Linked DNA regions of Tribolium castaneum. The protein of the gene in region 1 binds, or shares a complex with, the protein of each later gene. Links are inferred from orthologs where the notes say so. Each region holds a gene or a part of one and is shown in the gene's direction. Other genes may lie near its edges. The genes, in order: serine/threonine-protein phosphatase 4 regulatory subunit 4, Pp4-19C and PPP4R2r.

The links.
Region 2: serine/threonine-protein phosphatase 4 regulatory subunit 4 (region 1) and Pp4-19C share a complex: the UniProt entries of both Homo sapiens proteins name them as parts of the PP4 complex. The link is inferred for Tribolium castaneum from reciprocal best matches to the Homo sapiens genes PPP4R4 and PPP4C.
Region 3: serine/threonine-protein phosphatase 4 regulatory subunit 4 (region 1) and PPP4R2r share a complex: the UniProt entries of both Homo sapiens proteins name them as parts of the PP4 complex. The link is inferred for Tribolium castaneum from reciprocal best matches to the Homo sapiens genes PPP4R4 and PPP4R2.

What each region holds. Positions count from the first base shown.
Region 1 is NC_087394.1:13,839,854-13,850,361, forward strand, and holds the start of serine/threonine-protein phosphatase 4 regulatory subunit 4, read left to right. Parts: upstream 1-4,919; 5' UTR 4,920-5,002; coding exon 5,003-5,059; exon of another isoform or gene 5,060-5,173; intron 5,174-5,176; coding exon 5,177-5,256; intron 5,257-5,294; exon of another isoform or gene 5,295-5,438; coding exon of another isoform or gene 5,439-5,515; intron 5,516-5,570; coding exon 5,571-5,877; intron 5,878-5,927; coding exon 5,928-6,040; intron 6,041-6,087; coding exon 6,088-6,188; intron 6,189-8,286; coding exon 8,287-8,415; intron 8,416-8,467; coding exon 8,468-8,697; intron 8,698-10,508. Other genes in the region: Cmtr1 (cap-specific mRNA (nucleoside-2'-O-)-methyltransferase 1), read left to right, coding at 936-1,126, 1,178-1,309, 1,362-1,581, 4,227-4,456, 4,505-4,620. UniProt on the Homo sapiens protein: Putative regulatory subunit of serine/threonine-protein phosphatase 4.
Region 2 is NC_087401.1:11,676,154-11,686,385, reverse strand, and holds Pp4-19C (serine/threonine-protein phosphatase 4 catalytic subunit), read left to right. Parts: upstream 1-4,458; 5' UTR 4,459-4,612; exon of another isoform or gene 4,613-4,637; intron 4,638-4,763; 5' UTR 4,764-4,768; coding exon 4,769-4,918; intron 4,919-4,972; coding exon 4,973-5,125; intron 5,126-5,177; coding exon 5,178-5,478; intron 5,479-5,593; coding exon 5,594-5,783; intron 5,784-6,248; coding exon 6,249-6,378; 3' UTR 6,379-6,633; downstream 6,634-10,232. Other genes in the region: glucose dehydrogenase [FAD, quinone], read left to right, coding at 1-1,383; Flo2 (flotillin-2), read right to left, coding at 4,185-4,233; protein suppressor of forked, read left to right, coding at 7,190-7,213, 7,267-7,458, 7,509-7,541, 7,808-7,905, 7,958-8,186, 8,234-8,392, 9,587-9,778, 9,834-10,025 and 1 more. UniProt on the Homo sapiens protein: Protein phosphatase that is involved in many processes such as microtubule organization at centrosomes, maturation of spliceosomal snRNPs, apoptosis, DNA repair, tumor necrosis factor (TNF)-alpha signaling, activation of c-Jun N-terminal kinase MAPK8, regulation of histone acetylation, DNA damage checkpoint signaling, NF-kappa-B activation and cell migration.
Region 3 is NC_087402.1:9,724,230-9,734,715, forward strand, and holds PPP4R2r (serine/threonine-protein phosphatase 4 regulatory subunit 2), read left to right. Parts: upstream 1-3,732; 5' UTR 3,733-3,875; coding exon 3,876-4,754; intron 4,755-7,030; coding exon 7,031-7,582; 3' UTR 7,583-7,814; downstream 7,815-10,486. Other genes in the region: uncharacterized protein LOC107397720, read right to left, coding at 3,080-3,355, 9,831-9,986, 10,037-10,486. UniProt on the Homo sapiens protein: Regulatory subunit of serine/threonine-protein phosphatase 4 (PP4). May regulate the activity of PPP4C at centrosomal microtubule organizing centers.

The sequences.
Region 1 (10,508 bases):
CAAACTAGATTTTGGAGGTGTAATTGAATTTGGATCTGGAAGGTTCATTTTTCTGCCAAGCTTACGTATTTAAAAGACTTTTTAGTTATTTAGTTTGCTAGACAACATTTTTGACGTTCTTTCCAAAGCACTTCTTTGCAAAAACGCTTTTTTCTTAATTCTAATCAGCATATAAGATTCGATCATATCATGGTGATACATCATTGTAATCACAAACAAAAAGACTTTTCAAAAACACAAATATTAAATATGGCGTCCATAAGAAAAACCAAATTTGAGTGTTGTACCTCTGACATCAAAAACTCCTTGGAAAAGATAATGACAGATTTAAAATTCTTGTAAAAATGTGCCTAAAGAATGTCCTACTTAAAAGCGTGTAGTTCTTGTGGTTTTCGCTTAAAAAATAAAAACGAAAATTACATACAAATTATTTATTTTTCTCAATATTTCAAAATGGCACATCAAATTTTCTTTCAGATAATGGTTCAGCGTAGAAATGTGCCACTTTGCCATAATTTAACCGACCTCGTATCTCTTGTAATAACTGAGCTCGAAAAACGGACACCCTGTATAAGCGGCAATTATTTTTTATATTGGTTTTTGGAAAAATTGCATGAAAACATTTAATATGATGTCTAAACTCAAAACATTAACAAAAAAACCTTCATATCTTTATAATATAAAGCAAGAACGAAAAAATTACGCTCTTTGTGTAATACTCTTAATAACTCTTACAACTTTTTTATTTTACTTTCTTCGTTTTTAATTTTTTTATACCTGTGTTTATACTTAGTACCGTAATCATAACGTTAGAAGTGAATGTAAAAAAAATCGACTTGTTCGAGGATTTTTTTTTAAATTACTCATAACCAAGATATGAATTTTGTGCGTTACTTTTGGTTCAGTATTTTGATTCTTTAACACTACTTTTGCAGAATAGCCAAAAACCAAACGATAAGTCTACAAAAACTTGCCGCTTTTTGTAGAAACCCTTTGTTGACAGAGTACCGACAAGAAGAACTGAGAAGACAGTGTCTAGATTATTGGAAAATTCCAGACAAACCTAAAATACCTCTCCCCAAGTACACAACGGAGAACCTACTTGACGAAACAGTCGAAAATAGAGGTGTGTCATTTTTTTAATTTTAATTTTTTTCTTTAATATTATTTTTACCAGAATTACTTTTGGTGCAACCACGTGAGATATACTCAATTGAACAATTACAAACGGTTGTGGATGACTTAAATGACTGGCATTACGCTCTAATGCAATGTAAAAGAGCCACAAACATTTGCAACTTTTATGCAGGTATTAATGGTTAGGTTTATTAATCCCCGGTTAACATACGAGTTAATTATAGGGGTGGGATTATCGCGAGTCTATCGAATGCAGGGTAATAAATGGGTGAGAGTGAAAAATTTGCAACTGGTTCGAGGGACCTTACTGTATGGAGAATTGGTAAAGGAAAAATGTTACATGGAAGAATCAGTTGGAAAAGTTGGATATAAGTATAGTTTACACGTAATAGACGCATTGCGATTGGGAGACCTCTACTTGACTGATCTAAAATTTGACGAAAGGTAATTTTAACTCTCTAGATGAATTTTAAAACTTCTTCATTTTTTTTGTAATATTTTGAATTAGTATACAAGGTGCCCCTGTTAAAAGTATTTTCTATTTTATCTCAAAAACGAATTATCATCCAGAAGTGAGCATAATTTTTCAGAATTTTTCGGTAATTCCTTACAACAAATATTAATTTTAATATTAATCCAACATGCAATAACTATGCATATTATTTAGGGTGCATAGAAACTTTATCCCATCTTACAAAATTTATTTGATTTAAGACATTATTTAACAAAAATAATGGTCAACATTTATAAATCAGCCTTTCCAGGAAAAATGTAACCTGACCCCAAAATTCAAAAATGATTTTAGTAATATTAAGTCTCTTTCAAGCTACACGATTCGGTTTATATTTAATGTATTTTGCGAGAGAACGGATTTTGACAGAGGATATTATTATTATTATTATTATTATTATTATTATTATTATTATTATTACAACTGTTGAATATTTTTTGAAAAGTATTTTTCTGGTTTCTGGTAGTTTAGAAAATGGAAATCGGTAAATAAATTGATAAATAATATTACTTTTTGATCTTTATAACTTTTGTTGTATCATCCGTTATCAAAAACATAAAATGTTCTTATTTTTTACGTTGTTAGACAAAACCAAGAACTTTTAATTTCCACTCTCTAATTAATATTTAAAACCTGTCCGAGTAAATTTTTTAGAGCTATTTTCACACACAAGTTTTTTTTGTCCCGTCTGTCATATGTAAACAAAAAATAAACTGATCAGAAGTCGTAGCACATTGCCTTATTTTTCGGTTTTGTGGTTTTAAAAGTTTCAACAAGTTCCACCTTTTACTTTAAAAATAGTTGTTGGAATTAGTGCCTTTTAAATTAACAGAATTTTAACACGAATGTTCAACGATAAAAATGTGTTTTTGTGTCCCGTCCGTCATCAATTTGTATTTCTTTTTCCTACTCTTATTTCATATTTTAAAAATGTGCCTCTAATTGTAAGTTACAAAGAATTTGACTGGTACTAAAATCCTATAAAGAAAAATTCACTTCTACTAATACTGGGCGTCAAAAACTGAAAATGAAATCTAAAAATTTGTCCGTTTAAATGGAATGGCTGAAATACTTTTATAAACTTTGGTGCACTTTTTAATTTTTCTGTTCACATTCTTTGGATTGTAAATTTTAATGTGTTTGACTATTTTAATTTTAAATTTCTGGCGTTTATATGCTCATTAAATCATAAATTAACAAAATTCATTTCGCACTTTTGATGTGAAGTTGAAGTTACATTGGATTATTTACTTTACTCTGTTTTTTTAAAAACAAAAAATAAGTACAATAATGTAGTATTTTTGTTAAAGTAATTAATTGTGAATTGAATGATAAAATTAAAATGAGAGAACATAAGTTAGAGACGTTATTAAATTTAATAATAAGAATTCGGGCCAAAGTCTTATAAATAACAAATTGTAAATGTTAAAACTTCCCTTGAAATGGGAGTAATAAATTCAAATTTAGAAATCGCTTACTTTTTTGAGTTCTTTAATTAAGTTCGGGTTTTAAGTTTTTGAGTATATTATTCACGATTAAAGGATTTTAGGTTCAGTTTAGATTTTCGGATTAAATTTATTTTTTAAATTTTCATATTTAAATTTGTGTTTTAGTTTGAAATTTGTTGCAGACTTATTTGCGTATTTTTCATTCACAAACTTTTAATTTCGTAAACACTTCGATTTTACACTACGTATAAACACTACCAGATTGCATTTTTTGGACGTAATCAATAACTGCTTTTTCAAATGTTTAAAGTTACTTAAATATTATATTTTTTGTTATCAGTAAGAGACATTTATTAACTGGTTAATATTTTTCGAAAAAAAAATATTTAAAAGCATTTTAGAGGCAAAAATAAAAACTAGGTGTTGTATTATTATTTTAGGTTATTCAACTTTTATTTATTATTTTTTTTAACTTCTCCAAAAAATGTTTAAATCCTTTAGTATTTTAAGGCTTAAAAGAAGAAAGTATGAGCTTTAAATGCTTTAAGCTCATACTTTCTTCTTTTAAGCTGATTCAATTGTTTTTTTTTGCGGTTTTAATGTAATGATTTTTTTAAATATGTGCAGATATCGTTAGTACTTTAGTTTTTTAAACTTTTAAGCTAAATCCAAATTATGGGTGTTTTATTTAAAAACAAAGTTTGAAACGCATTGTATATACTTGAAAGTAATTTTAAGTGATATTAGAGGGTCATATCTATATTTTTTTGAATTTGTTTAAATATTTTAACATTTTCTCGCCAATCATGAGCTTTACCAACTCGCTGGTATAATCTATGGGCAAAAATAAGCTTCTCGCCACAAAAATTTGAAAGAAAAACTTCTTTTCTCAGGAAAAAAAAATTACAACCATGTAGCAAGTAATTTGACGATTATCATAACTAAAAACTGGAGCATGCTGTTTTTTATGACTTCGTTTTCACCCTCCAAATTTCCTAAAACTGTAAAGACTTTATCGTTATTTTTTGTGTTTCTAACTAAAACTTCTTCTCTTAAAATTTACTACTGAGTCCTAAAATTTGAACCCACTTTGCCCCAAAAAATGTTATAAATCGTTGTTTTTTTTGCAGAATTAAACTAATTAAAATCTATTGCAAAGCAATTAATTATGAATTTCGAACGAATAGTATCAGGATTCGTCCAAAATCAATACATGACTTACAGTCCTTATCTTTGGATCTTCCTTTAACTAAGGATCAGAGTTCTGGAACATATTTTTCACCATTGCCAGTTTTGGGTTATAAAGTCAATAATGAAGGTTTTGAAGTGAATTCGCTTCTACTTTTAAAAACTGGCCAACGTAAGTAGGAGAGTTACTAATGAATTTTATTTCATGATAATGTTTTAGACCAATCGTTTCATTCTACGTATGTTCTAAGGGTGCAAATGTTTTTGGAAGGGGACCAACATTTTTCCTTGGATAGTTTAGTAGAGTTAATTCGGCAAAAAAGGGCTTTGTTGTGACATGTGTGTTGTGTTCGTTGTTATTAAGTAAATAATTCACTTGCAGTAAGGAATGCATTAACTAGATTCTCAACGACGTTAAAAGATCACAATATTTTTTTTCCTACCTCATATTATCCATTTTTGAGTTAACAGTATTTCTTAGATTAATTAAGTTGTTTTAACACTTGTACTTTTAGGTCACAAACACTGTAAATAGTTTTAGAATCCATATTCGTTGACTCGTTGTTTTTCATGTTACTGATAAAAAATATATTTTTCTTAAAAAAAATCACTGATCGATTTTGACTTTTGTCAAACCAAATTTTCCTGTCAACATTTCTCTCCTTCCAAATTCTAAAATTATAGTACAGTTAGGTCAAACCTAAACAAATTAACAAAAATGGATGAAGAACTCACCAATCTGCAGCTGGACAAACCAGGGGCTTGGGGAAACAAAGTATTGAAATCCTACAACTGAAGCAAATCTTTTTGTTTTATTTTGTAAAGCTATAAGATTCGCTTCAGAGGCAGATTTTGTTGTTTCTTCATATTTATGGTACTCAGGTTTTTGTAGACGAACGAACAACTCGCAAAACACACAATTGACTCGCAGTTTGAATCAAAACCGATTGACAGAAGTCTTCATTTGCTGCGGTAGGTATTTCAGATTTTTGAACTTGCCGCCAAAAAATGATGTTTGTGAAATGTGTCACATAACCTAATTTTTTAAGTATTTTTCTATTTTTCTTTCTCAAATTACAAAAATATCACAAACTTTTAAAATGTAGCTTAATGTTCAACCCCATACTTTAAATTACAATTTTATTCGGTGCGTTATGGATTTGGGGTTATACGATTATCCCCCGCAGACTTCAGTGGACGATGATTATTTTTTGTTACAAGAGTTGCTCATGTATTTGCTAATCTGGGCCCAAGTAAGGTTTAATTATAATTACTCTTCATTATAGGAAAGGCGATGACATTCAGAAATTAAGCGTAATTCAGGCTTTGCCCCAAATCTTGCAATATGATCCAAACGGAACACTTACAAGACTTGTGCCAAAAATACAACAAGAACTGCCAAAATCCTCATGCGAGTTTCACATAGCCACTAGTAAGATATTTAAATTGTTGATTGAAAAGCAACTGCCTTTGAATTTAACGGGGGCTGTAATACAAGGAACCGAGTCTAAAGACCCTGTGGTTTCGAATGCGTGGACTGAGACTCTTTTGGCTGTTATTCCAACTCTGCCAATTGATCAAATTAAATCAGCAGTAAGTGTGCAATTTTTTTAATTGATGTGTTGTATTTAGAGGTGTTGTAGGTGATACCGTTAGCATTGGCTAAATCGCAGCCCTCAAGTCCTGTGTATTGTCGCGTTTCTAGCTGTAAAATCTTGGGAAAATGTGCGTCACATCCAAAAATGCAGTCGATAGAGTAAGGGGAGGTGATTTTTTAAATTTCTTTTTGACTCGCATTTGCAGCGTCAAAGCTTCGATTTTGCCGGCTGTTCAAAGTTTGTGCCAAGATTGTTTTCAAGACGTGAGGGCCACAATGTGTTCGCAGTTGCACTTCATTGCACAGGGTTCGTTAATAAATAATCACTTTTAAATCTTATTGTCCCCATTGAAAGTTTATACAAAAATTAATAATATCTGCTCGTGTTCAGATCACGAAAGCTAATACTTCTCCAGCATTTTAATTAAATACTAGTACTTAATTTTATTCTCTATGCATGTGAATTTTTTCACAAAAAGAGTTGTCATATTGAACACCAATAAGCATAGGCGTTCCTTTTTGGCGTAATTTTTTTTCTCGGATTCCTTCATGGCCCTATAAATTATAAAGTAAGTTTTCATATAGTATGTGTTCACTTTGATCTTCTAGAGTTAATTTAATCGTCAGGTAGTTTTCGTTTTTTATTCTTTTTAGAGCTAAGTCTACCATTTCTTTTTTTATTTCTTTTTTCTACGTCTTTTTTTTTCTTCAAAAATCTGTTGGCGCTTCAGATATCTTTGTTGTCCTTTTTCAATTTTAGTTTTCTCTTTCAATAATCTTTGTTCCATTGTTATTATGTATTAATCGAATCCCTTTTCTCTTTCTCTTCTTTTTTCAATTTTTCCAGCAGTATACATTGTAATGATTATAGATTATATCTTATCCAATATTTGTTTTTTTAATTTCTAAGAAACTTGTGCAATAGTATTAGAATCATCATTAACATTTTCAATTTTTTTACATTTCTCGTATATTTTCAAATCAATTACTTCAGCCTTTTTCTTCTTTCCTTTGGCCTTCTGGTCAAATTCAATCATCACCAATACGTCACAGAAACTTAAAAAAAATTGATTAAAGCATTCTTTTTGAGGTACTGGGGTTTTTTCATTATTCTTTAGTCCAACAAGAGTTAATTGACCAATGTCTGTCGATATATTTGTAGTATTATGCATTGATTTCCTACTGTAATACACGCAGTTTTTTCTTTTTCTAAGTTTTTTTGTTTCTTTTATTTTGCCTTTTTTTTGTTTTTTTTTTCAATTTTGGTTTCCTGTTTTAACCTTTCTTCCCCTTTTACTAACAGAACCTTTCTTTTCTCTTTTTTTTCTCTTCTTTCCTTTCTACCTCTTTTTTTCATTTTTGTTTGTAACTGTGTTTGTATTAATTACTTCAGTTTTTTTCCCTGCATTTCCATTTTTTCTATAATACTACTTTAAAATTAATTATAAATTATAATTAAGTCTCTGCATTATTTTTTTATAATTTCTAATGATGTTTTGAAATAAACGATGCTTAATGTTTTTTGCAAGAATTAAATAAAAAAAATTGTCGCTAGCCCCAAATTTAAAAATTAAATTTATTCATTCTGTAGCTCACATGTTTCAGCTCCCATTTAATCGTAATATAATTAAAGTTTTGGAAAGTAAATTGTAACTAAAATTACGTAAATGAACATTAAGGATCGGTTTACAGAAGCGTCATTAATTTAAATCGAAGCAATTTGGTTGGTTCATTCACGTTAACTTTTAACAACGAATTATATTTTAACAATTGCGTTCTTAAAAATTAACAACGCGAATGGACCAATCATATTGGCCCCTTAGGGCCGGTTTATAGAAAGCTTCATTAAATTTTAATTCGTTGTTAAAAGTTAACAACAAGTTAACAAAACTGAACCAAATTGGTTCAGTCGAGTCACGTGATTAGTTAAAAACGCATTTAATTGCGGATTAAATTAATAATTCTTCTAAGAGTCGGTTTACAAAAGCGAAATTAATATTTAATCCGGAATTAAACTAATTCCAATTAAGTTGCTATTTAAAATGCATTGACAATTGTCAAGTTAATCTCGAATTAAAATTTGATTGCAATTAAAATGTTCCGTAAACTGGCTCAAAAATTAATAAATTACTAATGGAACTTATTTGAGTTAAATTTCCATTTCGTTTCAATTGAATGTGAGTTAGACAGCAAATAAATTTTTTCATAGGCTTTTTGGTGGCTAGTGACAATTCTTTTACGTAATTCTTGCACAAAACAACAGTCAAACATAGCTTGTTTAAGAAGAAAAAAAGTATCTAACAGCAAACGCCGATTTCTGTATGATTTTTAGTTTTTGTGGTAGCATAAACTTTTAGGAGACTTACCCTGTGTACATTAATTTGAAGTAAATTTATTTTTTGAAGGTTTGGGTGAAAGTTTGGTAAAAACTAGTCTACTTCCCAGTTTAGTTGAGTTAGCCTCTGATGATAATATGGCCGTTAGATCATCTGCGGTTGCTTCAGCGGTTTTAATGATTCCGTATTTAAATAAACGTAAGTGTAATTAATGAAATAATGGTTTATTGGTAATAACTATTTTTTGTAGAGACTAAATTAGAAACCATTGTTCCTTTAATTAAACAGTTGTGCCAAAAAACTTCAGGTCCGGGTGATACTACTTTTCCGACAATGGCTAGAGAGTATGGAAAATTAGTAAGCGCATTGCAAAGTGATTTGGAAGTTAATGATTGTGTTTGGACTCTTCAATTTTTTAAAACTTTGGCGGCTAAAGGGCAAACTGTGCGTGTGAATAAGGACAATTTGGAAGTGACACAGGTAAGTTAATTAAAATATAAATGTTAATCTAAGTACGAAATTCGGAAATAAAATTAACTAGACGCCCTCTGGTGATGACTTTTGAACTATGTCGAAAACAGTAAAGAAATTTTCGTAATGCCACATTTAACTGACATTTAATGAATTGTTCAACAATTTTGCGTGTATAGTGTTAATTACTTACAATAGAAAGAATTACTTTAAAAGTACGTGGTGGTAAATACTAGCGTTGACTTTGGTTCTGTAGTTTTTCATGGTATAATGTGTTTATTGTTCGAACTTGAAAGTGGATAAAAAGTGAAAAATATTTAAATTTTGATTACAAAGTGTTATCAAACAGTTGTCTAATTAAAGATTATAAGTAATGGATCACAGCGAACACAAAGTTTGGCTCAAGAAACCAATAAATTAGTGAAGTGTTATGAATTTTAGGTTAGAATTTTCCACTGAAAAAATCATGAAATGCTGCGGTAAATCTACAAAACTACAATAAAGATTAACAACTGCTGATACATTTAAACGTAAATTATGCCAAAAGGTAGGTTTTTCAATGTCTTTGTAATAATTTTCCAATAAAGAAAGTGAACCAAACAGTCATTCGTTATTCGTGTTTTCCTCATCATCTCTCATTTGTCAACATAAGTTTCTTGCATCAAAGATGAAATAATCATTCCGCATAGGCAATGTAATAATTGTGAAGCCCCAAAATTCGTACAACGCTCAAAATATCCCAATAAACATTTTCCCGCCATTTATGGTTACTGTTTTCGACCTAGCTCAGTGGCGCCCCCAACGGTAATTTTACTTCCGAATACGAGTTAGCAGACTTGGAATTTGCTAAAACATGTAATTCAAAAGATAAAACCAGACAACTTTTTGTCTTTTACTTCCACGAAATCTCTTGAAATAATAAAGTATTGGCTTCATTGGCTTAAAAATGTTTAAGCCCCGGTTTCTTGAATGAGTGATCGTTATATAAATTCTATCGCTTCCATAATTTATCTACAAACACCAATCAGATCATCTCTACCTTAGCAACTAGCCAACCAACAAAATTTACCTATCGATAAATCTGACTTAAATTCAACCAACCCTATTTAGGTTTATCTTTTTTTTTAATTCATTGTTCTTAAAACTATCTGACGATAATGAGGTCAAAGTCAAAGAACACTAAGTTTTGTCGAAAATGTCATTTTGCCACTGTTTGTATTTTTGTTGTTTTTATCTAAAAACGTCTTTATTTTGCAAAAATCGTCAACAAAACGTAAATAAAACGCCAAAATCCAAAAATGATATTTTTGCTTTTTTCGAACAAGTTTTACAGCCAGACATTTAATTAGTATTTTGAAAGATTTTATCATGAATTACGTAAAAAGACGCCGAATCGGACGAAGGATTCTCGTAGTTTTGAATTCTCATACGATTTAATACGTTTTCAAGCTAATGCTCGAAAGATAGTAAATTGGATCGAAATTGACATTATTTTGCCGTTTTTTTTGTATATTAATTACTCGTTTTTTATCTAGAATCACTATAATTTCGCAAGTTTCGTTAAAACTAAGCAAAAAATCGACGAATGCCGAAATATTTTTGCCTATTTCGAGGAAGTAAACATTTTACCGCCACACACTTTTGATAAATTTTGATAAAAAGAGAAAATTATAAAATTATATATTATATTATATCAAAAAACCGTAAAAGTATTTTTAAGTATGTTTTAGGTTCAAAAAAAAGGTGAAAACAATTTCTTGGTTGGGAAATGACTAAACTGGGTTAAAAAATTACCTTACTATTGTCTTTTTGGGGCATTA
Region 2 (10,232 bases), on another chromosome or scaffold:
CAAGGCAATCCGGGGTGGTCCTACAGAGACGTGCTCCCTTACTTCATCAAATCGGAACGCTCCACGTTGAATAACCCCCACCCCGGCGTCCACGGAACCAATGGCTACTTGGGCGTGTCCGACATCTACCAATCAGAGATCTTGCGGGCGTTTATCGAAGGCGGGAACGAACTAGGCCTGCCTTATTTCGACTACAACGCCAATGAAAAATCGTTTGGGGTGTCGCCAATACAAGCGACTGTAAAACGTGGGCGGAGACACACCACAGCTCGCGCCTTCCTCCATCCAATCAGACACCGGAAAAACTTACACATGCTCACTAGTGCTTTCGTCACCAAGGTCTTAATTGACCCAAACACGCGGCAAACTTATGGAGTTGAATTCTCCCGATTTGGGAGGAAATATCAAGTTACGGCCTCCAAGGAGGTTATATTATCAGCAGGGACGTTCAATTCGCCCAAATTATTAATGTTGGCCGGGATTGGTCCACGTGACCACTTGGCCGAAATGGGGATTCCCCTCCTGGAGGATTTACCAGTGGGGCAAAACCTCCACGACCACTTGACCTACCCGGGATTAAGCTTCATTATCGATAAACCCCTCTCCCTGTCCGTCCTCCACCTAATTAACCCCAAAAACATAATCGATTTCCTCTTCAACGGCACTGGCCCTTACACCAGTCTGGGCGGAGTCGGTGGGATTGGCTACATAAAAACAAAAGAATCGCTCGAAGTTGAGGACATCCCCGATATCGAACTACTGTTCCTTGATGGCTCCCTTAGCACCGACTACGGCCTATGGAACCGCCGTTGGATGAACATCCGTGACGACGTTTACTACCCCGTCTACGGCCCCACCCACAACATCCCCACCTGGACCATCTTCCCCATGTTGCTCCACCCCAAATCCACCGGTTACCTCAAACTCAAATCGCGCAACCCCCGCGACTACCCCCTCCTCTACGGCAACTACTTCACAGACCCCGCCCAACAAGACCTCAAAACAATGCTAGCCGCCATCCGCTACATCCAAAAACTGGCCAACACTCGACCGTTTCAAGAAATGGGAACGCGGATGAATCCGAATCCGATTCCGGTATGTGCACACTTGATTTTCGACAGCGACGCCTACTGGATGTGCGCCATAAGGGCTATAAGTGTGACACTGCACCATCAAGTAGGCACGGCGAAAATGGGGCCGAAGGATGATCCCACAGCGGTGGTCAACCACGAGTTGAAAGTGTACGGGGTCAAGGGGTTGCGGGTTGCCGATTGTAGTGTGATTCCGTTTGCACTAGGAGCGCATACGAACGCACCTGCGATTATGGTGGGGGAAAAGGCGGCAGATTTGATTAAGGCGGATTGGGAGAAGGTGGCACGATGAGGGTGGTTTTGACAGAGGTGTCAGAAATGGGAGAGTTGTCCAGTTTAATGGACGTTGACCAAAGCCAAAATGTAAATTTTTACAAATAAAGATTCAATTAGTGATTATTGTTTCATTCACGAAAACATAGCAATGTGTATAGAGAAAATTAAGTAAAAAAATTATTGGTTCGAAGTTTTTCACGATAAAAATTCACCAAATTAAGCAAAATAATGTTTTTTTCTATAGCAGATGTTAAACTATTTCGTTATCAATTCTATGTAGATGAAATAGCAAGAAATCAACCGCAAAAATTTACAAAATATCGGAATATAACTTTTTTCTCTTAAATTTCATTAACTTGAAGGCCTGCTACAGTAAATAATGTAATAATGAAGTACATGTAAATAATGCGTTATAAATACACATAAAAAATTAAAATGCTGTCAACAATAATTTTGACCAGCGTTGTAGAAGAGAACAAGCCCGGTCCTTCAAAATCAGTGTTTTTATTCTGTGAAACTTTTATTGCCGCATCAATTGAACAATCAAGTGTTACAATAAAAAAAATTACACAAAAATTGTTGTCTCTTGTATTTTTTAACTTTTTTCATTTCAATATATCTTTAAAATTAAGCGTCTTAAAAATATCAGTTTGCCTTTTCAAAAACAAACAAATTTTGCCCTTTTTATTGCCTTTTACGCTTTTTTGCCATTCTTACTGTTTTCTTTTGCCTAACTAACCGCCCTCTATTTATTTATCAATTTGTAAAATAATTCCACTCGTGACTTTGTCATTCTTGAACTTAACATTTTCACTCGTAGAGTATAATAAATAAGCAAAGGCGTATCCAGGGTGGGGGACGGTGGAGCAGCTGGCCCACCTTTTAAGTTTAAAAATATAAAAAAAAACTTATAAAAAACTAATTGCCTTTCAGCATTTTGAAAAAACCTTAGTAAAGATACTTGCATCAAATTCGCGTGAGAAGTCATAATAACATGAGATCGAAAATAAACTTTCGAGAGAAATATCCTAATTTAATGTTTAATTGCTACTCGTTTTATTGTTATTTGCAAAATTTAGTAAAACCAATTAGGACTCAAGAAAATATGAAGTGGCTAGAGTTACACTTCACTTCAAAGCTTGCTCTAATTGAGTACATTTTCGATCTCATAGTATATTAACTACTCAGTTAATGTTAAGTTAATGTCGTTAGTAAGATGTTAAATTTGAAAACTGCCCCTTTTGTTTTGAGCTGAATACGCTCCTGATAATAAGTATTTATTTTTTGTAAGTTTTTTGAGTTTTTCAATGATTTTTTTTTAACTTGCTTCAGATGGCTACGCACAAAATAAAAGCAAAATTGATATTATTTATTCAGTTTTTTCGTTCTAGTTTGTTAGTTTTTGAAGTAGAGTCTCTATCTAAAGATTTTCATAATATTATCCTGTCAAACCACGACAAAAAAACAACAATAATAAATCCAACTCGCTCTTCCCCTCTTTATTACACTCGATTTAGCTCGCTCTTGAGAAAAATCTCGTGAAAAATTAGCCAAAAAAACACAAAACTTGATCGAAATTGGTGTTATTTTAACTTTTAAACTTGCTTCTGAACCAAAGTTTGAGAGCCTTTTGCAAGTTTTTACTAAAACAAACCAAACTGAATCGATAATTATGTTTTTGTTGCCTATTTAGCTCGTTTTACAGCCAGAGGTGTAATTACATCAGCCGGAGGTAATCTGTACTGAGGTATAATTATTCTGCAAAATTTCGCTACAAACCAAAAATTCACCAAATAAGACGAAAAATGGTGTTTTTTTGAGATAAAAATTAAGAACTTTTTCGAAAACCGGCTAAATTCAGCTAGTTTTCACTTAGTTTCTTAACTAAAAACTCATTTATTTTGCAGTATCACAGACGCCAAAAAATGGAATTGATATTGTTACGTGATTTTGAGATTTCAAAAGTTAAATTTTCAGTTTTTTTGTAAAATTTCGCTAAAACAGATTGAATATTACATTATTTTAACATTTTTCAAGCCATTAGAGGCTCCAGTTTATTGAAAATTTGATAAAATTCCGCGCGGATCTGGTGATTTTTATTTTTTGAGTTGGTAATACTGTAAGCACCACTGCTTAAAGAGCGATTTACACTAGCCGATTATGTCCGACTTACACCACGGAAAAAAGACTGGAATGACTGACTTTTTGGCCATTAATTTTCAAAAAAATTGTAACCAGAAGACTGTCTTTTATTTTTTAATTCTAGTAGTTACAATCACGATCATGTTATACCACTGCAGTAAACAGTAAATAAACATATGCAAGGTTGTTCCAGATAGGTACGCCCATTGTAAAACAACAACAAACAGGCACACCAACCAAACACAATACAAATGTCAAAGGTCAAATAGTAGAGCACTTAAATTTTATTGCAGTTAGGCAATAAATGAAACACATGATTAGCGGGAATTGTTGAAAACAATTTATGACTAAGAAAAAATCTTCTTTTGATAATACTTAATTAATAAAATAACACATTTTTGTCATATTAAAAAAACAAGTTATTAATAAATCTCTAAACCGGTAAAGATGAGACGTTAATTATTGAAACGTAGTTTTTGTATCTCACTATCAATAATACTACAATTAAAAAGTTATTTTTATGGTCGGGAATTCTATTTATTCTTATCAACAACTAACGATTCACCTTGAAAATACCCCAAAAGACCCCAGATTTTGCATGCAGGTACCCCAAACCCCGCAAACGCTGTAGTACAGCCCCAGCCACCCTTGTCCAAGCTACCCCAATAAAATTACCTGAAACAATGAGGGCTTCATTCGGTCCCACCGTATGGATATTTCCCATGTCTCCCAACACCTCGGCACCACACACACAGTCACAAACCCTCCACAAAACCCCCTTAAAATTTCAGGTTAAACATGAAAAAACTCCGCTTTAATTTTTTAAGCCGTAATCATACTACGACCTACTGCCTAACGCAGGCGCACCAACTTTATTTAAACAACCCTAAACGCAATTTCTCCCCAATTTAACCGTCCACCGTCGCTTTCCTGCCGAAATAAGGGTTGAGAACGTGCGCAGAGTAGCGTCGGTGGCGACACGACGCCGCCGCTCAATTGACATTTGTGAGTCAGCCAATCGGACGTATGTCTGAGATTAGGGCATCGGGGTGCTGTGATTAGTGGCTTTGGTGGGGGCTTTTTCGAACTTTTATTGGAAAAAGGTACGGAATTTCGCCAGAATTGTGGGTAATTAGCGTTTCGCAATCGTTTGGGTTCAGTTTTGGGGGTTTTTGGTTAAGTTTGGGTGACCTAACCTCAACTTGTTACTTTTTGTTTTCGTTTGACGTTTGAGCTTGGGGGCCCGTGTTTCAGGCACAATGGGCGATACCAGCGATTTAGACCGGCAAATCGAACAGTTGAAAAGGTGCGAAACGATCAAGGAATGCGAGGTTAAGGCGCTGTGTGCGAAAGCTAGGGAAATTCTTGTTGAAGAGAGCAATGTTCAGAGGGTTGATTCCCCGGTTACGGTAAGCGCAGCCCCCGGAAGGGGTCACGGTTTGGTTCATTGTGACTTGCTTCAGGTTTGTGGCGACATACACGGCCAGTTTTACGACCTGAAGGAGCTCTTCAAAGTGGGGGGCGACGTCCCCGAAACGAACTACCTGTTCATGGGGGACTTTGTCGATCGTGGGTTTTACAGTGTTGAGACGTTCCTCCTGCTACTAGCCTTAAAAGTAGTACCGAAAACGTGACGCAACAAGTAAAAATTTACGATCATTTTTTTAGGTTAGGTACCCCGACCGCATCACCTTAATACGAGGCAATCACGAGTCGCGTCAAATAACCCAAGTTTACGGATTTTACGACGAGTGTTTACGCAAATACGGCTCCATAACCGTATGGCGGTATTGCACCGAAATTTTCGATTACCTCTCACTTTCGGCTATCATTGATGGCAAAATTTTCTGTGTTCACGGGGGGCTGTCGCCCTCCATCCAAACCCTAGATCAAATCAGAGTCATCGACCGGAAACAGGAAGTACCACACGACGGACCAATGTGCGACCTGTTATGGAGCGACCCTGAAGGTAATTAATAGCCCCCTTGAGTCGCTCCCAAATTGAAAAAAAAAATTGGTGGCCAAGTTGGCCCCGAAAAATTATATTTGTGTCCAGAGTTAGTCATGAAAAATCAATGTTGTAGATACCCAAGGTTGGGGCGTGTCGCCCCGAGGGGCGGGCTATCTGTTCGGTTCCGACGTCGTGGCCCAGTTTAACGCCGCCAACGACATTGACATGATCTGTCGAGCGCATCAGCTGGTCATGGAGGGCTACAAGTGGCACTTTAACGAGACTGTGCTGACAGTGTGGTCAGCTCCAAATTATTGCTACAGGTAAAATTACCACTGGGAGCGCCACTGAGCTAGGTTGAAAACAGTAACTTCAAATGTCGGGAAATGTTTATTATGATTGTACGAATTTGGAGGCTTTCGTTTTTCTTATGTCTGTATTTTCGAAAAGTGTTTTTATTTCTGATTGCAACGATGTATCACATGATATGATCGAATGCTGGTTAAAATGGAGAAAAAATATTTTTGCGAAGGATGCTTTGGAAAAAACGCCAACAATTTTGTTTTTAAACCTACTAGATTTTGGAGGTTTATTTGAATTTGGATCTAGAAGCTTCACATCACCACCAAGCCTACTTATTTAAAAATTAAACCACATGATAAACAAACTTACTAAACGATACATTAAATTCGTTACTGTTTTCGACGAAATGTCGTCAACAAAGGGCGTCTAGTTTTTTTTTCCAAACTGGGCATTTGGTAAATTTCGGTTATTTTTTGTGTTTGCAGGTGTGGCAACGTTGCCGCAATTTTGGAACTGAACGAGCATCTGCAACGTGATTTTACGATTTTTGAAGCGGCGCCTCAGGAAACTCGAGGCGTGCCATCGAAAAAACCACAAGCTGATTATTTTCTGTAATAGTTTAGTTGTTCTTTTATAATTGTAATATACATATTATACTCTTGGTCATCTGTTAATTCATAATTAATTCATCAGTTGTAGTTACGTATTTTTTCATGGTCTTCAATTATGTTTAAGACAGTTTTTGTTCCAGTTGTCGATTTATCCCTCTATTGACTTCGAAATTCTAAAACTGTACTTATAGTGAATTTATTTATTTAAAACCATGTATTGTACCATTTGCAGACTGCCAAAATACATTTTTTTGTAAAATTTGAGTTTTATTTCAAAGATATTGCAAATTAAAAAAATAATGGCGGCACTGGCAGCCATTTTGGGACGGCTAATTCAAAACCGTACCCATCGCGTGTGTGATAGCTAAGCAAAAAAGCCTTAAAACGTATAATTAAGCTTTGAATTGAAGGTTTCTTAAGTTTTATGTTTCAAAATCGAAATTTGAAGCCTCCAGTCATAAAAAATCATTTTCCATGAAGCAGTAATTCTTTGTAACAAGACACCCCAAGCATTTGTGTCAACCACAAATTACAAAATTTCTGAAGCTCAATTCGTAATCCAAATCAAACAGTTGTTATTCCTATTTACTTATCTGTCTCTCATTGGTTTTATAATTTTTATTTTGGAACAATTCGCGTCTACACGACTTCGTACCATCGGGACGCTTGATTTTGACAGTCGCGGCATCATCAAGCCCAAATATTTTCGTTTTTTCGTGCTTTTTTTACCAAAAATCCGGTGCATAAGCCCTTAAAAACATCCCTTTTATCAATTCAACCCTTCGTGGGCTTCTAGTGCATGAATTGCGTCAACCATGACCGACGAGAGGCTCCACATTGTAAGTTAACCCCAAAACCCCCAAAAAAATCATAAATTGTCCGTGTTATTTAGGACTGGGGTAACGATAAGTTGCACCGCACCCAGAAGCAGGTCGAGCGCAACCCCTACGACCTCGAATCATGGTCGATTTTGCTGCGCGAGGTGCAAACCAAGCACATTTCGGAAGTGCGCCCCCTTTACGAGCACCTCATCGACATATTCCCCAGCGCGTCGCGCTACTGGCGCATCTACATCGAGCACGAGGTGACCTGAGCCCCCTTGTCGGCACTAACCTGACTCACGATTTTTTACAGATGAAGTCCCGGAATTTCGAAAGAGTGGAAAAGGTAGGAAAGCCGTTAAATTGTAAAGAGTCAAACGAAATAAAAACCATGACGCTAGACTTGTTTTAGTACTTTCAACCCTTGCTGTTGTCGCGAGCATTTGTTAATGAATTGGGGAATATTTTGTGTCTTTTTTCCCTCTCCAGGCGTCCAATCCTCGCTAAATAAAATGTTGCCAAACGAGAATTTGTTTTTTTGTTGCGCCAATATTCTCCTTTCGTTAACCAATGTTTGGCGGGTTTGTTCTAAATTTTTCGTTGTTCCAACAGTTGTTTCAAAGGTGTTTGATGAAGATCTTAAATATTGAGTTGTGGAAACTTTATCTCGGATATGTTAAAGAAACCAAGGCTTCGCTCCCGACCTATAAGTACGTAAAACCGCCCTCTAGCGTTTATCCCATGTTTTGATTCATTCTTTAGGGAAAAAATGGCACAAGCCTACGACTTTGCCTTGGACAAAATCGGAATGGACATCCATTCGTACTCGATTTGGAACGAATACGTGAATTTTTTAAAGGGGGTGGAGGCCGTGGGCTCGTATGCGGAGAACCAGAAAATTTCAGCGGTGCGTAAGGTCTACCAAAGGGGCATTAATAACCCCATGACGGGGATGGAGACCTTCTGGAAGGACTACATAGCCTTCGAACAAGTAAAAACCCCCAAAAATTACGAAAAAAAATTATGCAAACATTTCAGGCCATTAACCCCATTATTGCGGAAAAAATGAGCATCGAGAGGAGTCGCGATTACATGAACGCGCGCAGAGTCGCCAAAGAACTCGAAGTACAGATTCGGGGGATTAACAGGAACGCCCCCAGTGTGCCCCCCAACGGAAGCCCAGAAGAGAGGAAACAAGTCAGTTATAGTTGGCAACTCTGCCGAATTATTTCATTGGTCACAGTAGTACAAACTATTGGCAATACTGACTTAATTACGTTAAATATTTATCAAGAAAACCTAACAAAAATACGTTTAAATCTGTTGCCAACAGATACAATCTACTAGGAGTAAAAGTGATAGTTTGCAGAACTTTGCAAATATTTCATCTGAGCCACATAAACTCACTTATCGGCAAACATATTTATTCAAATGACATAATAAAGACAGAATTTTTTAATCCATTTCAGAATTTCACAAAAAACTCGATCCTCAAAACTCTTAGTTCTTGAGGTTAAAGGAGAACACGTTTTAGTTTGTTTCTAGTCTGGCAGATGACGTGGATTTTTTTAACTGTTCTTTTTTTTCGGAAACGAAAAAGTGTTTTCAACATACAATTTTAATTAAATCTGAGCGAACCGTAACACTTTTTTTTATTTTTTGACTTCGTTATGAAAAAAAAAATTCTCATAATAAAAAATATTTAAAAAAACAAGAAATCGAAACGTACTGCTTGGAAGTAGCTGTGGATTAATGTAATGATTGGCTTTGTTTCTCTTATTCATTTTTAGTTTACATAAAAAAATAAACTATTTCTGAAAAGCTATTTTTTCTTAAAACTAATTCTATCACGTAAAAATCTGCGTTTGCTAAAAATGCTTATTATTTTTTCTATGCATATGAATTTCTTCAGATTGTTTGTACAGTTCCTTATAACAATTATTATCAATGAATTGAAAATATTAATAGTAATATTAAAATTAAAAATATAAAAAATAATATAAAACTAAAAAATATCCCTAAACAACTCCTACTCATAAACGTTAATAAACGTATTATAAACGTAAAGTATAAAAAAATATCATTAATATTTGTTTAAAATTTCAAGAAAAAAATGTCAAATATTTTTTTAAGTGTTACGTTGGCACAAATTCTAATTGTTTAAACGACCCAATTTCATTATCAATTAAAAAATTAAAAACAGAAAAATAATTTCCATTGTACTTTTTTTAACTCTGCCTTAAAAACAGATGCTGTCTGTATTTCGTCACATATTATTAATATTCTTGCCTTAAAATAAGTAGTAAAGGACTTTTTCGTTTTAATGTTAGGCAGATTGTAAAGTAGAAAAATTTTACTCGTTACTTTTGCTGTTAAAAAAAATTCTTTCAGGTCGAGCTGTGGCAGAAATATATCGCGTGGGAGAAGAGCAATCCGCTTCGCACCGAAGACACGGCCCTCTTGACCAAACGAGTGGTCTTCGCCCTTGAGCAATGCCTACTTTGTTTGGGACACCACCCTGATATTTGGTACCAAGCGGCACAGTTTCTCGAATACAGTTGTAAAATTCTAGCCGAGAAAGGGGTACTAATTAATTTTGGCGCCAAACTTAAATTTGTTTATTTTTTGGTGGTTTTAGGACGTCAACGCTTCGAAATTATTTAGCGAAGAGGCGGCAAATATGTTCGAGAGGGCGACGAGCTCGCTCTTGAACAAAAACATGCTACTTTACTTCGCCTACGCTGATTACGAGGAAGGGCGTTTGAAATACGAAAAAGTCCACCAGATTTACCAAAAGTACCTTGAAATTCAAGATATCGACCCGACACTTGTACCAATACAACAAACAAAAAAAACGGTGTTTTTATCGTAATTTTTAGGCGTACATCCAGTATATGAAATTCGCCAGACGGGCCGAAGGGATCAAGTCGGCTCGGGCCGTTTTCAAAAGAGCGCGCGAAGACAATCGCTCCAAGTACCACATTTTCGTCTGCGCCGCCTTGATGGAGTACTATTGCAGTAAAGACAAAAACATCGC
Region 3 (10,486 bases), on another chromosome or scaffold:
CCAAATGAAGAATTAAAACGATCAGAAACCAAGAACACAACCTCAACTGTAACAAATAACAAAATAAAATCTTTTCAACCATTTATAGTACCATTATTGCAATTTTTCTTTAATAGGAAGTTAATTTAATCCACAGGTTGTTGAAACCTGCAAAGAATAACGCACGGTTTAATGTTTATTTACATTTTTTAAAATTACAAGAACTTCAACAACAATAAGCATGAAAGCAACAAATGCCGCTAGCGCGCTAGCTGGCGCCTGTGCTATTTTTTGTAAGCGCGAAAAAAAAATCATAAAGTCATAACGATTAAAAAATTCTTTTAGTATTTGGAAATGATGCCCTGATCACCCCATACTGGTAAGTCAAGAAAAAAAAAATGATCCAGGTTATTATTGTTGTTTAATAAAAAAACATTGACTTCATCATTCATATTTTTTTTGATATTCGCGCTTATGAAAAATAGCACTGGCGCCAATTAGCACGCTGGCGGCATTTGTTGCTTTTGTGCTCATTGTTGTCGAAGCTCTTGTAATTTTCAAAAATGTAAATTAACATTAGGCTGTGCGTTATTCTTTTGTGGATCAAATTAACTTCCTATTAAAGAAAAATTGCAACAACGGCATTACAAATAGTTGATAAGATTTTATTTTGTGATTTGTTACAGTTGAGGTTGTGTTCTTGGTCTCTGATCGTTTTAATTCTTCATTTGGATTATAGTTTTATAATGCAAGTAGTGAAGTATTGATAAAACCAGCAATTTGGAGGGAAAATCGTTTTACGGTGTGAAAACCTTGTGGTGTAGTCTCAGATCAAGTTGTGATGCCGGGATGGCTATCGCTAGCTCATGCATTATTTCTTCCAACACATAATCATGTCTTTTACTATTATCATCAAGAAATAATCAAAATTTACTTTGGATTAAATGAAATTGACATCAAATGTGACAGCAATGACAGCTGTGTCATTCGTAGTGAACTGTTTCCAAGGTAATGGTACGCTCAAAATTTATACTTTTCTATTCTGCAGAGCAGTGTAGAGTTTAGTTTAATCCCAAATAACTAGAGAACGGTACAGTTTGACGACATGAAGCAAGAGTACCTTTTTTATTAAAAAATAATTGGGCTTTTGATTTTTGGTATCAAAAATACGTGTTTATAGGCCGAAAAATTGAGTTATCACCTAAAAACTGGAAGGGCCCCCTTGTCATCGGAAATGTATAGCTTTTACAAGATTTCCATTTACACCATATCAAAGTGCGTCTTTGTGTCTCTTGGCATGCAAAATTTCATAATAATCGCATGAACGGTAAGAAAAATATTTTCAAAAAACCATTTTTCCATACCAATTTCTGAAAAATTGTAACTTTTCAATTTTTTGTGGTGGGTCAGTAAATACTATCCTATCTATTTTCATTTTTAGAGGGGTTTTCGTGGTTAAAATTATGCCACATATTTTTGAATCACCCGATACAATGGTATCCGGTTAGAACGAACTCAGAAAATGCATCACAATCAATTCGTTCGCTAAAAGCGGTAAATTAAAAAAAATGTCTTTTAAGTAGTAATTTTGACTTAACATTTGAAATAAGACTAAATAAATAAGTATAAATAAATTGAATCCTTTGCGAAATAGTAATATATTCATATATTACATGTTACAGATGTATACTGTGTGAATTATACTATAGTTGTGTAAATAAGGTGTTACAGTAGACCTCAAATGTGAAAATTGTAAAAAATAGCTCAACTTACTTTATCCGAATATTTATAGTTTCTGAGATATAGAGAGTTTTGGTCGGCGAATGAATTTGGCAACAACAAAAATCTCTGAGTTTAGTTCTGCCATAAAAAAATATGAAAATGTGGGCAAAAATACCACCGAATGTAAACTTTGGGAAAAAGTACTCAAAAGACGCAAATCTAGTTGACATTGCACTTTTTGACGAATTTTTAGACGCTGAAGTGGAGTAAAAAGTAGTGAAAATAGTAAATAAAGTTTATATAAAGTAAGATGATTAATTTTGACTTTTTAGATCTCTACTATCATAAAAAATTTGCACAACTCTCAAATTCACACTGTAATTAGGTTTAAAAACACACGTTTCCACCAGTTAAAATGTTTTCTGTTAAAAATTCAATAAAAAGTTCGTTATAAACGGAAAATCGCATCACATTTTAAGTCGAATCTAGTTCGTTATATCCGGAAGTTCGTTATAACATCCGTTATCTTCAAAGAGACACACACCACACCCATTTAAAAGAAAAATATTGAGGTGGTCGTGTAACCTTTATTTTATTCCTTCCACCACAAAGCAGCGACATTCGAAACGGGTGAACTTGAACCAAGATTTTTTCAATAACAAAATTTGCACAAAAGTCTCCAGTGGGAAGAAATATGAGTCGGAAGCTCATGAGTCGGAGCTAATACGGTGTAGAGTATATAAATTAAATTTAATGGCCTATCAATTTCACACAAAAAAAGTTAGTCAACATCGGCTACTTTGAAGTAAAACAACTGCTTGAATGTTTACATTTTATGTTTTTGCTAAATAGCATGTCGCTACAAGCCCTTCAAGTTTTATTGCTTGTTGAAAGGAGTAAAAGTTTTTGTCGGACCGACAATAATTTCTGTTTTGTGCTGTGTGCTGGTAAACAATTTTGTTGTTGCTAGTTTCTTTTTAGTTCCACATAGAAAATATTTATCTATTTTCTTTACTGTAACTATTATATAATTAAATAAACACATACAAGCAGAGTAAAATGAAACAATACGTTGATTCGTTTTTATATCTGGGCCAGTGTGTTACTTTTTGCAAAAGTCGCCCGCTTGCATCTGTAAGAGTTCTAAATTCTAATTAACACAAATCTTTTAAAGCGATTACGCTCGGGTATAGGGCTGCCTTACAAAAGAAAATAATCCTCATACGTGCGCAAAATGATACAAATACATAACAAATAATATATTTACAAACAATTCGGTATTATAAAAGATAAACAGAGTATATCATATTCATAAGCCACGTTAAAGCTATGTACAAAATAAAACTTACAAGGTATTTTTCTCTTACAATTATGAATTTTAAGCGTTTATTTTAAGTTCGTTTCTCAGGATTTTGCCGCTGGGGTTCCTTGGGATCGACTCGACGAATTTAACACCGCCGGCGATTTTTTTGTAATGGGCCACTTTGGGGTTTATGTAAAGTAGGATGTCGTCTTCACTCAGGCTGCTCCCGGGTTGGCGCACGACGAAAGCTCGGGGCACTTCACCGGCCAAAGCGTCCGGAATACCCACAACAGCACAATCGGCCACTCCGGGCATCTCCAGGAGCAGATTTTCAAGCTCGGTGGGCGACACCTGTTTACAAAAAAATAACGATTATTTCTTACGTAAATATTTAACAACGCGTAATAAAAAGAGTATAAAGTATGACTTCGTAACGTTAAATTCCAGGTGCCACGTAATAAAATAATTAAGGTGTGTTTTAAATTCAAATTAAAAAAAATTTTTGAATTAAAAACCACAGGGTATGCAACCAGTTATACAAAAAATCCGAGTGTTCGCAGAGAAAATATTTTTAGCGAAATCTCGGTGTCGCTCACCCGGTTTTTGCACACGTGTTAGACTTTGCGCTGTTGCTGATTATAATTTTTAATGACTGTACTTTAAAATCAAATAAAATTGTCTCGCGTTTAAATTGATAAATGACCACGTCCTTAAAATAGGCGCGCGGTTGCGCAGTTCGTCGATCACGTCCTACTTTGAGTGGAATGATATTGAACCGGCGCTAACTTCGTTATTGTCATTGGTGCGCTTGTTGACGCAAGTAGATGGTGATCGGTGGTGCTAAAATTTCGCGAAAAAAACAATAACAATAATGGAAAATCCCGAAGAAATACTCCACAGTTTAGAGGAATTCTCGAAAACCAAGCCCAAGGACATACCGCGCGAACTGGAGGAGTACCTTTGTTTTGTGGCGAAAACAGGGGACCCTGTGTACCAGTGGTCGGCAATAAAGAGCCTCTTTCGCGAGAAGATGATTAACGTTATAACGGAGTTCTACGAGACGTGCCCTTCGGTCGAGATACCCCCTTGTCCCAACGTGGACATTTTCAATTACGACCTTATGAAGAATTTTATTTTAGAGAAGTTGGACACGTTTGCGGCGGCCCCCTTCACGTTACAGAGGATTTGCGAGCTGTTGACGACTCCGAGGAAGGAGTACAATCGGATAGACAAGTACATGAGGGCCCTGGAGAAGAATATCCTAGTTGTGAGCACCACTGAACCTGGGGGCAGGAGGAACACGGAGAACGGGGAGGGCATTATGAACGGGTTGGAGTCGGAACATTTGCCGGAAACTAGCAATAGCAGCAATGACATCAACGTGGAAGAAATGGACGATGCGCCAGCTTGGCCTAGATTGCTACAGAACGAAAATGTTCCATATCAAAATGAGAATAGCAACAGTAATGACATTCAAACCCAGCCAATTGTACAAGAAACGGTGGTCACCGCGTCTAAGCTACCAGATGTGGCCTGCAGCTCGTCTCAAGACACTGTCATAACGTGTCGAAGCTCAGAGGAGCCCTACGTTTCGATTGAACCTGTGCCATCAAATACTTGCACCAGATCAGACCCAGATGAGACGGATGTCTCGGTTACCATCACTGCCATACCTGCAGGGGTCCAAAAGAGACGAAACAGTGTCGAACCGGTCGTTTCGTCAGAAACCGAAGAAATCACCGAGTCTTGTGTAAGTACCAAGTTTTGATCAAAGTGTCCATGTGTTTGAAGTTGGCAACATTAATTGCTAAATGGTCACGTCACACTCAGGACAGTGTTGCCAGGCCTCGCAAAATTTCACCAAGTTTTGTGATTTCGTAATTTCAAAATTTCTTCGAAAATTACTAAATTAAAAAACTGTTATCAAACCATTAAAATCACAAAATCCCTCGATGTAGTTAGTTTAGGAGCGAAATTTCGTAAAAAAAGTCAAAAAACCGTAAATAGATTTTAAAATTGTTATTTTTAGCTTTTCAAGCACGTTTTTGAATAAAATGCAATGTGTTTTTCAAGATTTTACAAAATTTTGTTCGTTCTATTCGCCTCTTTTATTTTGAAAAATCTTGTTAAAACGCGCCAAAAAAATACAAAAATAAATGAAAATTGATGGTTTCACTTAATTTGCTCATTTTTGAACAAAATTTCGTAGTAAAATACCCTAAAAGACGCAAAATTTGTGTGGAAATGGTGTTATTTTTTTTAATTTTTTAAGTATTAACTAAGCTATATTAACAAAATTTTCTTGAGAAGACCGAAAGTTAAGAAATAAGAAAAAGAAAGTCGGAAATATCATTATTTCTTCCTTTTTTGTGCGTGTGGACATATTTTACAGTCCGAAATGTAAATATTTCGTAAAATTTTGTTGTAAAGAAGCTTAAAATTTGCCAGCTTTTTTTAAAAATGGTGATTCTATGCATTTTCTATGCATTTAAACGTATTTTTAACGCGAAATATTTTTTCCCTTTTGAAAGAATATCTAAAAAATACGCAGCTTAGATTGTCTCGCTTGGTTTAGTTTTATTTATTTTGCAAAATCTTGCTAAAACGCCTCAAGAAGAAACCGAAATTTCTTAGGAAAAAACATGTAAAAGCGCATTTTTGGAGTTATTTTTCACCATTTTCAAGTTTTTTTTTCTTGTGAGAATGAGCATGTTTTAGAGCCTGAAATGCAAATTTAATAAAATTCTGGTCAAAACAAGTCCAAAATCCACCAAATTACGCTAAAAATTGTGCTGTTTTACATTTTTTGAGGATTTAGACGTATTTTAAAAACGAAAATAATTTTGCAAAAATTATATTAAAATTAGTATCAATTGGCAAATTATGTTGTAGTGTAGTAGTAGATTAGTAGATGTTTTTTAGCTTATTTGATTAGATTTTATTCGTCTTTAAACCTGTCTCCTTTATTTTGCAACATCTAAAACGCTTCAAAGAAACTGATGGTATTTAACTGTTGCACTTGAAAAAACTCAAAATGTGTTAGAAAGTGTTGTTATTTTTTTATTCCCTTTCGAGATTACAGCAAAATTACAAAATTAGATTGAAAATAACATTATTAGTTTTTGTGCAAAATTTCTTAGAAAAAAATCTGAAAAGGTACATTTTTTTGGAAATGGTGTTATTTTTTAACTTTTTCATGTATTTTTTTTCTTTAGACAAGACCAAAAAATTAAGCTGGAAATATTCTTTCTGTATTTTTTGTGTGTATGAGCATGTTTTAGAGTCAGAAATGCAAATATTTTATAAAATTTTGTTCAGAACAAACCCAGGATTATGCTATGGTGCTATTTTACCTTTTTTGAGCATTTAGGTGTATTTTAAAAACGGAAATAATTTTTTCTTTCGAAAAATTGTACTATAATTTACATACAATTGGCTTAACAATAAACAAATTATATTATAGTGTAGTAGTAGATATTCTTTTTGCTCATTTTATTAGATTTTGCTCGTCTTTGAACCAGTTTCCTTTATTTTGCAAAGATCCAAAATACTTCAAAAAAATTGATGGTGTTTTACATGATTTACTATTTTTGAGTCAACTTGCTTGAAAAAAATATACGAAGAAACGCAAAATGTGTTTGGAAATGGTGTATGTTTTAATTTTTAAAATCTCTTTGAAATGAATAAAAAATTACAAAATTAAATAGAAAAACACATTTCTTTTTGCAGTATTTTTTATTCTTGCAAATGTGCATGTTTTACATTATGATTTTTACCAAAGTATTGCCTTTCCGCGCGTTTACGCACGTTTTTAGGCTAAAAACTGTTTCTTAACTTTGCTAAAATTGTCTCTTTTCGTTTCGCCCAATTGATTTTTACGTTTTTAAGCAAAATTTCGTCAACAATAATAGCAAACCAAAAAAAAGTCTGATAATCTGATGAATAAGTGGATCGGGGATTTTTTCAGTTCGGAGTTACGAGTGTGGCAGTTGTGCCAGCTTAATTTGGAAAACATGTTTTTTCTAGGACCAATCTGACAAAACCAGCGAACCTTCCAAAGAATCTGAGGCTAAACAAGAGGAAACGCCTTCGTCGCAGCAAATCGAGGACGCAGACTCGTCCTCAAGCGCTGAAGACGACAAGGAATCGGTTGAAAGTAAGGAGGAGAAAACTGTGGACGATGCGGTCCCTCAGAGCGAGTTATCGTCGACTGAGTGCGATAAAAACGAGGATGAAGTTGGCACATCGCAAGAGAAACTTGACGAGAATCCGGACGAAAGCGAAGAAATAACTGTCGATACCACCAAGTGTTCAAATGCCTCCCCAACACCACAGGAAGAAACTAAAGAAGACCTCGAAATTACGTCTTCTGACAAAATTGATGAGGTGCACTCGTCACAAAGCGAAGCTGAAGCGAAAATTGAAGAGACTGAGAAATGTGAAGAATCTCAAGCTGCTCCCGAAGAAGGGGTGAAAGAGGCAAGTGAAGAGGCGGCGACTGCGATGGATGTGGATGAGTTTAGCGAAAAAGTGGAAGAGGTTGTCAGGGCTGAAGCTACGTCAGACTCACCTTTATAATTTAGATAATTTTTTTCCTTAATTAACGATCAAGGCTAACAAACGCGCCTTCTTAATTGTTAAGTATTTATACAATGTGTAATTATGCAAACGAAGTTTTTTCATTTTACTAGAATCTGTAGGGTTCGTCTGATTCGTCAACAAAATTCGTTTTTTTTAAATTTGTATGTAGAGCGTAGGTAAATAAATTTGTACGTAATAAAGAACTGAATAAATGGTTTATCTATTGAAACCTTTGCATCTTTTTGTCAAGACCGACATCCTGCCTACTTTTACAGAGAAAGTGGAGCGAGGATAAAAATTGAACCGGAATTAGTCTGGTTCGTGTAGGCAGCCAACAAAACAGCGTTTTATTCTAAAAGAGTTTTCTAAAGCACGTTGAACTTTTTTTTTTTAAATCCAAAATTGTTGGAATATTTTGCTTGTTTCACTCATTTATTCGCTAATTTTGGAATAAAATTTCGTCCCAATAAATAACCAAAAAACGCCCTAAGCAATCAGTGGAAACAGATTACGTTATTACGAAAATTTCAAGCTGTTTAGCATGTTTTGAATTAAAATCTTAGTTTTTGTTACAAGACGTTGCGTAAAACAATGAATAATTGTCAAATTAAATCAGTAGTAATGTTTTCAACAAAGGAAAATCTCTAAATGATAGAAATTGATGCTATCCTAAATTCTTACCCTGTTTCACTTGATTTAGTTCATATTTCATTAAAATAAACTTACAAATCACAGAAATAATAAAAATTGAAGATTTGTTTTGCCTGTTTCAGTCGATTTCGTTGTTTTTTTTAATCCTAATAAATAACAAGAAAACCTTCAATTTTATTTTTACTTTTTTTCAAGCTTTTTAAGTGTGTTTTGAACTAAGATTTTGGGTTTTGGAAATTTTGAAAGCCGACCCTGTTCAGATCAAAAAAATAAAAGGTCCATTGGCGTAATCAACAAAAAATTGTTACTAATTAGTTGGAGCTCACTATTATAACAATCTGACAGATTTAAAGCAGTTGTATGGGCAATGCTATCAGAGTATAGCCGCGGCATTCAGAGAGTACTTAGAGTAGGTAAAAATAATATTGAATTTTTTAAAACAATTCATTTGACGTTGTTAGTCTGATCAACTCACAAAATTGTTTAAAGCCAAAGAACTTGCTGATTGTAATATTTTGTAATATAGTGAAATAAATAGGTGCTCATATTATTAAATTCTCCTTAGAAAGTGGCTTTGTTTGAATTGTGGGTATCTTTTAGAATATCGAATTCACGAATTCTTAAAGATTTCGATGAACTGTTTTGCCTGAAATTATTTGCTTAAGAAATGATCAGCGATTGATTGGATCTAAAAATGTACCTCACACCATTATTATTTAGATAGATAGGTACCTCAAAAAACGGTAAGTTACAAAGTCGTAACAAAATCAGTGAATCAGACAAACCTCGCTTTTCACCTTACAAGGATAATTACGTCACAGGTTATATTTTTGTGTGACGGTTTATTCATACTTTTATTCTTACACAATTATTGTTGTGCCGTTTAATTTTCTTCAGTTTGTTACTTGCTGTTTCGCAAAGGTACGCCTCGTAAAATAAAATATGAATTTTGCGGTTTAAAAGTTTCAAGTTCGTGGTTTAATCGCGGAAAAAAGAGTTAGTCTGGAAAGTTTTACTTTTACTACTGACGTACTGCATTGATTTTTCTCGAAAAAAAAATGCCCTTGCTACAAATTGTAGCAGATGTAGATATTTTTTTCTTATTTATTGCCAAGTGTGAAATTTTGATTTTTGTGCTGTATTTTGTATTTTATTTCAGAAACCAATAGTTCCTTTACTTCCTTCATTTTCTAATAATTATTATTTACCTAATCCTTATTATTTCGTTTTTCCCTGGTAGAATGCTTTAAAACTCCACGTAGTTCTTGCTGGAGAAATTAGTAAGCAATTTGACTAATTACTATAGCAATTCTTAAATTATATGTATTGCTGATTGCATTTTATAGGCGTAAGTTACGTTTAAACACCTTGTATTTAAGGTAACGTAATATGTATGTGTAATAATTATGATTCTTTTCCCTACGGTCTACAGTTAGTTTAAATCTAACAAGTAGAGCAGAGTCTTGTCCTTTTTGGCTACATTTTGTTGTAAATTAACTTTGAATAGACGCGAATTCGTAAGATTTGCGCTTATCCACTCATTAGTGGTAATAAAATCTGTACTTACCTTTTGAGCTAATTAAAAAAAACTTACTTGATTGCCCTTGACTTTGATGAGTTCCTTGCACCTATCGACAATATAAAAGTAGAAATCTTCGTCGTAATAGGCCACATCCCCTGTATGGAGCCACCCTTCCGCATCGACAGTCTCCGCAGTGGCTTGTTCGTTGTTCAAGTACCCCATCATAATCTAAACAAACCGCTCAGCAAATGTTGAAGCAATAACCTTCACAATAATACCTGTGGCCCCCTCACTAGCAATTCACCCGACTTGTGTGTCCCCTGCGGTTCCCCATTCGACAAACTAATAACTTTTGCTTCCGTCCCGGGATAAGGAAGTCCAATCGTTGCAATTTTCGACGGTGGCGTCAACTTAGGCATACAGAAAGTAACCGGCGAACTCTCCGTCATGCCGTAACCTTGTCTTATCAGAATATCGTCTCTTCCCACCTTCTGTCTGAATTTTTGCAAGAGACCTTCAGTCAAGGGGGCCGCTCCTGACTGGACGGCTTCAATAGAACTCAAGTGTTCCTTGGTGACGGCAGGATGCGAGGCCAGGAACAAGAGCAGGGAAGGAACGACGAAAATAAAGCTCGGTTTGTATTCGACGAGGGTTTTGAGGTAATCTTCGGGAGTAAACCGTGGAATGGTGATGATGTGAGCGCCGTTTTTGAGGCACAAGTTCAAAAT